2 linked regions of the Xenopus tropicalis genome follow. The protein of the gene in region 2 purifies or fractionates together with the protein of the main gene of each other region. This does not show direct contact. Links are inferred from orthologs where the notes say so. Each region holds a gene or a part of one and is shown on either strand. Other genes may lie near its edges.

Evidence for each region.
Region 1: the proteins of sap18 (region 2) and srsf1 purify together in Homo sapiens (co-immunoprecipitation; 4 studies listed by BioGRID and IntAct, with this or other methods). This does not show direct contact. The link is inferred for Xenopus tropicalis from reciprocal best matches to the Homo sapiens genes SAP18 and SRSF1.

The regions. Positions count from the first base shown.
Region 1 is NC_030678.2:76,103,894-76,107,882, reverse strand, and holds the start of srsf1 (serine/arginine-rich splicing factor 1), read right to left. Parts: upstream 2,801-3,989; 5' UTR 2,547-2,800; coding exon 2,353-2,546; intron 1,372-2,352; coding exon 1,130-1,371; intron 303-1,129; coding exon 130-302; intron 1-129. UniProt on the Homo sapiens protein: Plays a role in preventing exon skipping, ensuring the accuracy of splicing and regulating alternative splicing.
Region 2 is NC_030678.2:157,764,680-157,768,701, forward strand, and holds the start of sap18 (histone deacetylase complex subunit SAP18), read right to left. Parts: upstream 2,801-4,022; 5' UTR 2,733-2,800; coding exon 2,661-2,732; intron 929-2,660; coding exon 819-928; intron 390-818; coding exon 267-389; intron 1-266. UniProt on the Homo sapiens protein: Component of the SIN3-repressing complex. Enhances the ability of SIN3-HDAC1-mediated transcriptional repression. When tethered to the promoter, it can direct the formation of a repressive complex to core histone proteins.

The sequences.
Region 1 (3,989 bases), about 82 Mb from region 2:
ATATCTTTTGGCACCTTATGTATTTGGCCAACATCACTATTGGCTTCAGAGGTCATGTAAAACAGATACTGCTAGTCACAATAGGTAGAGAAAAACTTAACACAAACTACTAAACAATTTAGTATTTACCTCATGAGACCTAAATTTAGTGTTATCCAGCTTCCGTACTGCATATGTCATATCTTCTTTCCTCACAAACTCCACAACTCCAGTACCATCTCGGAACACATCGGCATAACATACATCACCTGCTTCACGCATGTGATCCTTTAAATCCTGCCAGCTGCCACTTGGAGGCAACCCTAGAAATATAAAGTTATCAGAGTGTCAAATTTGGTATCAAAAGCAGTTTTATACATAATTAAAAGCATGCAAATGGTGGAAATTTAAAATGGTTTATGAACTTCTAGTGCCAAAATTCCAAGAGTAGGTATCTATGCTGGTTATACAGCAATGCATGGAGCATTAAAACAGTCCAAAGACAGCTGTATTGCTTAAATGAACACAGCATCCTGGGGAAAACCCATTGTTTTAATCTGAACCATGCTTCCAGCGAGACTCACAACAGCCCAATTCTGCTAAAATAACTCAGGGGTTTACATTTAGTACGTTTTAAAGGTAAATTTGTTGCAGTGCTTCATGTTTGAACTGAAGGTAACATAGCAACATGTGCAAGTTTTCATAGTCCAGATAGCATCCTGAGCAACCAGACAGGGCCATTTAATATCTTGTTTGAAGACAATACCCTATCCTTCCCTTTTCTTGTGACTGCATGGTTTGAAGTCCATTATGCAGGAGAATTGTGTGTGAACTGTAATACAATTATCTACCTTGCAAGGACCAAGCAGAGAGTTGCTTAAGTTCTGTTAAGCTGATGCAAGCCGTTAACTGAACTAAAGTTAAAGGGAGATATACTAGTAGTTCTGTTTGTATACATTAATGGTCAGTCATATCCACTGGTATAGAATGCATAATACTTTAGAATGTATGCATAACTGTGTCCAACTCATTATTGTATACATGTGAAATAACGCTGCTTGTAAAAACCTGATGGGCATTATTCCTCTAAAACTTTGCAACTGATGTTTTTACTTTGGTTTTTAAACCTGCCACCTGATAGAACTCTTACCTGACACAACCACTCTGTATTCTGAACGTCTTGATGGAGGTCCATATCTCCCTCGGGGAGCTCCTCCTCCGCCGCCACCACCACCACCGCCGCCGCCGCCTCCACCACCTCCTCCTCCGCCGCCGCCACCACCACCACCACCTCTGCCTCCAGCTCCTCGCCCACTTCTTGGAAACTCAACACGCAAGCGATAGCCATCATAATCATAGCCATCTCTACCATAGACAGCATCTTCTGCATCCCTAAGAGAAACCAAGGTAAGAATTGCTTTAGTTAAAGAATGCCAGGTTAAGAAGAGAATATTCACCTACAATGGTAATTACATATCCTGGAAAACTTTCTTGGCTGTAAATGAGAAAACTTTATTACAGTCATGTATAGAGCTACAAACGACACATGACCCCAGATTAATTCTGTGTAAGCAAGCCATTGTATCTTAACAGTCTTTTAGACATGAATGGCTGCCCCCATGACTACACAAAAGCTTTTGTATTTACATTTAAACAGTACATTTTCACCAATACTTTACATATGTGCATATAGTGCAGATGCTTAAACACCCATTATTCATTTTGTAGTGTTGCTATTGAATATCAATACTGCACTTCTCCAAGCAGCCTACATAAAAGGTGTTAGGAGTTCTGGTTGAATAAGTGCAGTGAGCCTAATTGCATGCTTTATAGCAGAGACATGAGGCAGCGGCTTTAAAGCAAACAGGTCAATAAATAACCCAAAGCACATTTGCTTGTTAGAATGCCTTCCCTTAACACACTAGTAAGCATGGTGCAGGGCTGCAGAACAAAGAGCGGAAGCGCTATTCGGTCCCACACACAGGGGGCGCTGTTGCCTAAAGGCGGTAATAAATAGGGATTTACACGTGCTAATGGCGATACACAATGAGTGTATAATACCTCATTCTGGCGCCACTCTGTAGGGATTATAGGCTAAATATATTAACTTGAATAATGATACAACGCACCGATGTTGAAACATAACCTGCACCATAATCAGGCCTAATTCCCCCCCTCACTGGCCTCCTCGACTATATATAAACTCTAATACAACAGCGGACGACATTTTATCAACTACAGCAGAAATAAAGTCGCAGTACCACCACCCCGCCCCCGGATACACTCAAGGTATATTGTAGTTATTCACCAGTTAACACTAGGCGAGCCCATTAGCACGATAGGCCAAAGCAAAAACATTTACACAGGGATTACCTTGGATCTTCGAATTCCACAAAGGCGAATGGCGGGCCCCCTCTGCGGTTCTTTAGGTCTATGTCCCGAATGGCCCCATACTTGTAGAAAACGTCCTCAATGTCCTTGGTGCGGATGTCTGGCGGCAGATTGCCAACATAGATACGGCAATCGTTGTTACCCGCCGGCCCCCTAATCACGCCGCCCCCTGACATATCCAGCTTGATGGATTTAAAGGGAGACGGATTGAGAAGAAAAAGAAATGGAGTTGGAAGCCAAACAGACCTTCGATGCGCGCTTCAGAGCTTGGACAAGATGGCGGAGTTACTTCCTCCCTTGCTTTAGCCGCGCAAGGATACTAAGAACTCGCAGTGGTGCGTCCTCAACAAAGGTAATCTTACGCCGAGACAATATAGAGCCTCTCGTTTCCACGTCTTCACGATGCAATGTTCCTAAAGCTATGTGCCAATTACGGCCCTAAGAAAGAATCTATTCACTGAGGTAATATTTATACTAGAAACCTGAGCTCAAGCTGCTTCTCTGTATGTGATAGGGGGGCTTTCTATACCCTGTGCTTGACGTCACGTCCGTCCAGGAAATGCGCGCCCATAGTGGGGGAGGGCAGTGGGTGTTGTTTGAAAAATGTTTTGTTACTCGTCGTGCGCCATGGCTGTTGTTAGGTGGTTTTGTATTATAGAACCATGGTCGGAGGCTGTTAGCTCTTTATCTGCAGTGACATTCATTATGAGTATGAAAATCATTAACTACAGGTGTGCTCTCAATGGTTTCCGCAATAAAACTTTTAAAAGGGTTTTACCCTTGTTTGTAGTCCTGAGTGCCAATTGCTTTTTTTGTTGTTACAGTGTATTTGGAGGGTGCCGATCCCTCTAGCAGTGTGCACCGTACAAAATTTTTTTTGGAGTGTTAGGGTGTGCGGATAAGGTCTCTGTGGTCCACTCTCAATGGTTTCCCCATTAAAGTAGCACTGCAATTCAATACTTTGTAACTGCTGTCAGGGTAATATTGCAAACAAGGTTGGGAAGACTTTGTCCTATTTATTATTATTAACATTTATTTATAAAGCGCCAACATATTCTGCAGCGCTGTACAATAAAAGGGTTTTATACATTGGACATACAGAGTAGCATATAAAGCAATCAATAACCGATACAAGAGGTGAAGAGGGCCCTGCCCAAAAGAGCTTACACTCTACAAATATTTATGTGTTGATAATAAATACATGCCTTACATTACACTCCTGTTTGGGCCTTGTGCATATTTGTTTGTTTTATTTTAGTCGAGCTTAGATTGGGCAGTGAAATTGTAAGCTCTATGGGGCAGGGACCTCCTTCCTACTCTCTCACACCACATGGCGCTCAATCTGTGTATTTATACTTCTTGTATTTATTATAACAGTTGTCCTCCCTGTGTGTAATTGTGTATATTGTAAGATTGTATAGCGCTGTGTACCCTTCTAACGCTTTATAAATAAAGTTATACGTACATTTATATATTGCCCAGCGCTTTACAGAGTAGGGAGTGCAACCCTGGGCTGAAGTGGAAAAGCACTTCAAAAAGTGCAAAAGTATTTAAGAAACTGATGCTGGAATGTAAAAAAAATCCATAACAGAAAAATACTCGAAAATGTATGCCTTTTA
Region 2 (4,022 bases):
GTTTGCCTTTGCTGTTCCCAAAGTGCAGGGCAGTGCAGCAGGGTTGGTGTGCTCCATCTCCCATTGCTTCATTTTTTTCTCTAGACCAAATGCCATCATTGAGCATTCGCAGCTAAAGCCGATTAGGACCTGGCTTCTACTGCAATAGTGAGCAATTGTTTCAGAGGGAAGTGGGAACCTCACTACTCTGCATTTTGGGAATACTGCAGATATATTTCTGCCTGGTCCGTTAGAAATAAAAATAGAATTCCTAAATGTAGCCAAACCTGTAGCCTGATCGCTTTGGATCCGGATAGACAATAGCAAAGTTGAAATGAGTTCCTTTTTTCCGAGCATCTGGGTAAACTTCTTTAACTAAGCTTGTTAATTCCTTCAGCGTGGCATCCATCCTAAAAGCAATAAAGCAGATAAACATGAAATCATATATATCATAAACAAGAACTACAAAAAACTAAATTCACATATTATATACATAAATGCACGCTGCTCTATAAATATGGTTACAGTCTGAACCAAATACCAAACCTGTGCTCAGGAGTGCATTTCCATAATATTTATAAAAACACAGGGGGCCTAGTGGCTCAAATCAGAATCTCTTTTCAAAATTTTCAGAGAAACCATGGGTAATAGCATAGCTTACTATAGGGCTCATGTTTGCTGAGCAGAACCCATGGGTAGTGGCATAGCAGCATGTCTGCCACATGGGCACATTATCTGAACTCTGTGTGAGACTGGAGCAGAGCAGGAATGACCCCCACTTTCCTTACATTCTAGCAGGATTTTCCCCCATAACATAATACCTTTACTGCTTATCTCACCAGGTATAGATCTGTAGCTCACTGGATGGCACGTTTCCCCTCGAAAATTCATCCATGCGATGGTGTCTCCCGTTGTTTGTTGTGAAAACCCTCAAGAGAAGAGGGCAGGTCTAGGAAGAAAATGGCAATGGGTTGAGGCAGATCTGGTTCAGAACACTGGGCTGGATGGTAGATATGTGGGAATCTGGCGAAGAAGCTTGTTACATTTACACTTGTGTTACACTGCCCACTTTGTGCACATTAAAGGAAAACTAAAGCTTAACAAAAAATAGGTTAGAAATGTTGTGCAACACAACCACGACCCTTTAGCAGGGAAGATCTGTACCCCCAGTAGCCCCCCCATCTTCTTTCCTGCTGATTCACTGCCCATACTATGCTGCTGTCCTGTACCTGAGCTGATTAGTAATTAATTCAGATTCTCAAGTGTCAGCTTCTGAGTTTAAAGGAACAGTAACACCAAAAAAATTCAAGTGTATAAAAGAAATTCCAATATAATGTACTGCTGCTCTGCACTGGTACAACTGGTGTGTTTGCCTCAGAAACACTACTATGGTTTATATAAAGAATTTAGCTGTGTAGCCATGGGGGCAGCCATTCAAAGGAGAAAAGGCACAGGCACTTAGCAGATAACAGATAAAACACCATTGTATTCTACAGAGCTTATTAGTTATCTGCTATGTAACCTGTGCCTTTTCTCCTTTTTTCCAGCTTGAATGGCTGCCCCCATGGCTACACAGCAGCTTATTTATATAAACTATAGTAGAGTTACTGTATCAAACACACAACTTTTACCTTTAACCAGTGCAGGGCAACAGTACATTATATTTCTTTTACTTTAAAACTCTTTAATTTTTGGGTGTTACTGTTCCTTTAATAATCAGCCCTGCAGCAACAACTTATATGAACTTCATGATTTGTAACAACCCCTATGCTTTAGCTTCTCAGAGCACACTGAGCATGTGCAGTGTCAGTGACACCTCTAACAAAATCCAACATGGGGAGCTCCTATGATAACTCAGAAGGCCTGGCTCATTGAAGCCATAGAGAATCATAGAGATGCTGAACCTTCCGGCTTTTGTATTACATTCAGTATATAAAATACAGTTTCTTCCCATATTCCTTCTAAGGGTTAAGTTTTCCTTTAATTGCTCAAAAGTGCTGGCAATAGAGCCCTAGGCACTACACTAACCATGAGTGATTCATTTCGCTTACATGTAGCGCTTAGTGGTATTAGTAATTCTAGGCATTGGTATTAGTAATTCTAGGCATTGGTATTAGTAATTCTAGGCATTGGTATTAGTAATTCTAGGCACTGGTATTAGTAATTCTAGGCACTGGTATTAGTAATTCTAGGCATTGGTATTAGTAATTCTAGGCATTGGTATTAGTAATTCTAGGCACTGGTATTAGTAATTCTAGGCATTGGTATTAGTAATTCTAGGCATTGGTATTAGTAATTCTAGGCACTGGTATTAGTAATTCTAGGCATTGGTATTAGTAATTCTAGGCATTGGTATTAGTAATTCTAGGCACTGGTATTAGTAATTCTAGGCATTGGTATTAGTAATTCTAGGCATTGGTATTAGTAATTCTAGGCACTGGTATTAGTAATTCTAGGCACTGGTATTAGTAATTCTAGGCACTGGTATTAGTAATTCTAGGCACTGGTATTAGTAATTCTAGGCATTGGTATTAGTAATTCTAGGCATTGGTATTAGTAATTCTAGGCATTGGTATTAGTAATTCTAGGCAGGGTTCTATGTGGTGCCTGAGAGATTCCGCTCAGAGTAACAACACGGCTGTATTTGGGACCGGATCCCATTCAATGAACTCTCCCATTACCTTCTCTCTATCGATTGGTTTCTCCGGTTCCTTTTTTATCTCCTCCTGCGTCACCCGCGATTCCACCGCCATCTTCTCCAGTTTGGTGGAAAGAGCCAGCCTTACCGATTAATAGAACTACAAACACCACGAAGTCCAGCGCTCTGCACTCAGGCGACTAACTTCCGGCGCGTCGACTATACGTCATCAAACCAGCCCGCCTGGAACACGGAAACACTAGCGCTACCGCCCCCTGGTGTTAGTGTGCGCTCTTAAACGATCTAGGCGCTGTTTGTGTGGAGACGCGGGAGTAAAGTTTGCCAAACAGAGCAAGTTTTTGTTCCTGGGCAGTAACCCATGGCAACCAATCAGATTGTTATTTTTGTATTGTACCTGCAGCTGGAAGGAGAAAACTAATCACTGATTGGTTGCTATGGGCTGCTGCCCAAGTACTAAATAACACTGTACTGAGTGATTTGTAAGGAAGGGGGTCACTTGTGCTGAGGCAGGGGCCGTTCTTCTGTATCTGGGGGTCCTGCTGAGCTCTTCTTTCCAAAACACACACCTGGCTGCAGTGCCATCTTGTCAGACCCACTAGTGTTCGACCCACAGTGTGAAGTACAGAACTGAACGGGCAACACTGGTGCTTTAGTTTCAGAAGATAATGATTTGATTTCTTTTTTTAAATCAACAAATCCACTAGAAATCCTTTTTTATATAGTTATAGAATATTTTTAATTGTATGAAAACAAAGAGAAATTACTAGTAACAATTAAGCAAAAGGTACAGAGAGCATAGCAGCAGATGGAGCACCGGTAAAGGAATGTTCTGTAAGGCTGATGCCACACGCGGCGTTTTTCCGCTGCGTTTTTTCTCAGCCTAAAAACGCCGCACAAGCCACACAGCCCCTGACTATGGCGTTTTTCAGCCTAGTACTGGTGACATAGCAAATCCCTTTTCCATGGAGCTAATAGTGCGAAATAGTAAAAAACGCTGCGTATTTCCGCTAGGTCTGGCAGCTGCCTTTGTGTATACATAGGAATAGCTGGCTGTGCAAATACTGGCGTATTTCAGCCAACGCTTGAAAAATCCGTGCTAAGGCGTTTTCTAGCGTATTTACGCTTTGTGTGGTTTGCTTCGAGTCTTTTCAAGTTATTTCTATGGATGATGATATTGGGCGTTTTTCAGCCGCTGAGAGAATTAGAAAATACGCAGCGTAAAAACGCCACGTGTGGCATCAGCCTAATCCTTTTACATCTCACGTTAAAAAGAAAGATTTGTTTCAAATAAACTATTTAAACAAAATGCTTGATATAGCGAATAATTGCTAAAGCAAAATGTATCATAACATGAGATAAAAGGTTGATGATAAAAGGAAAAATC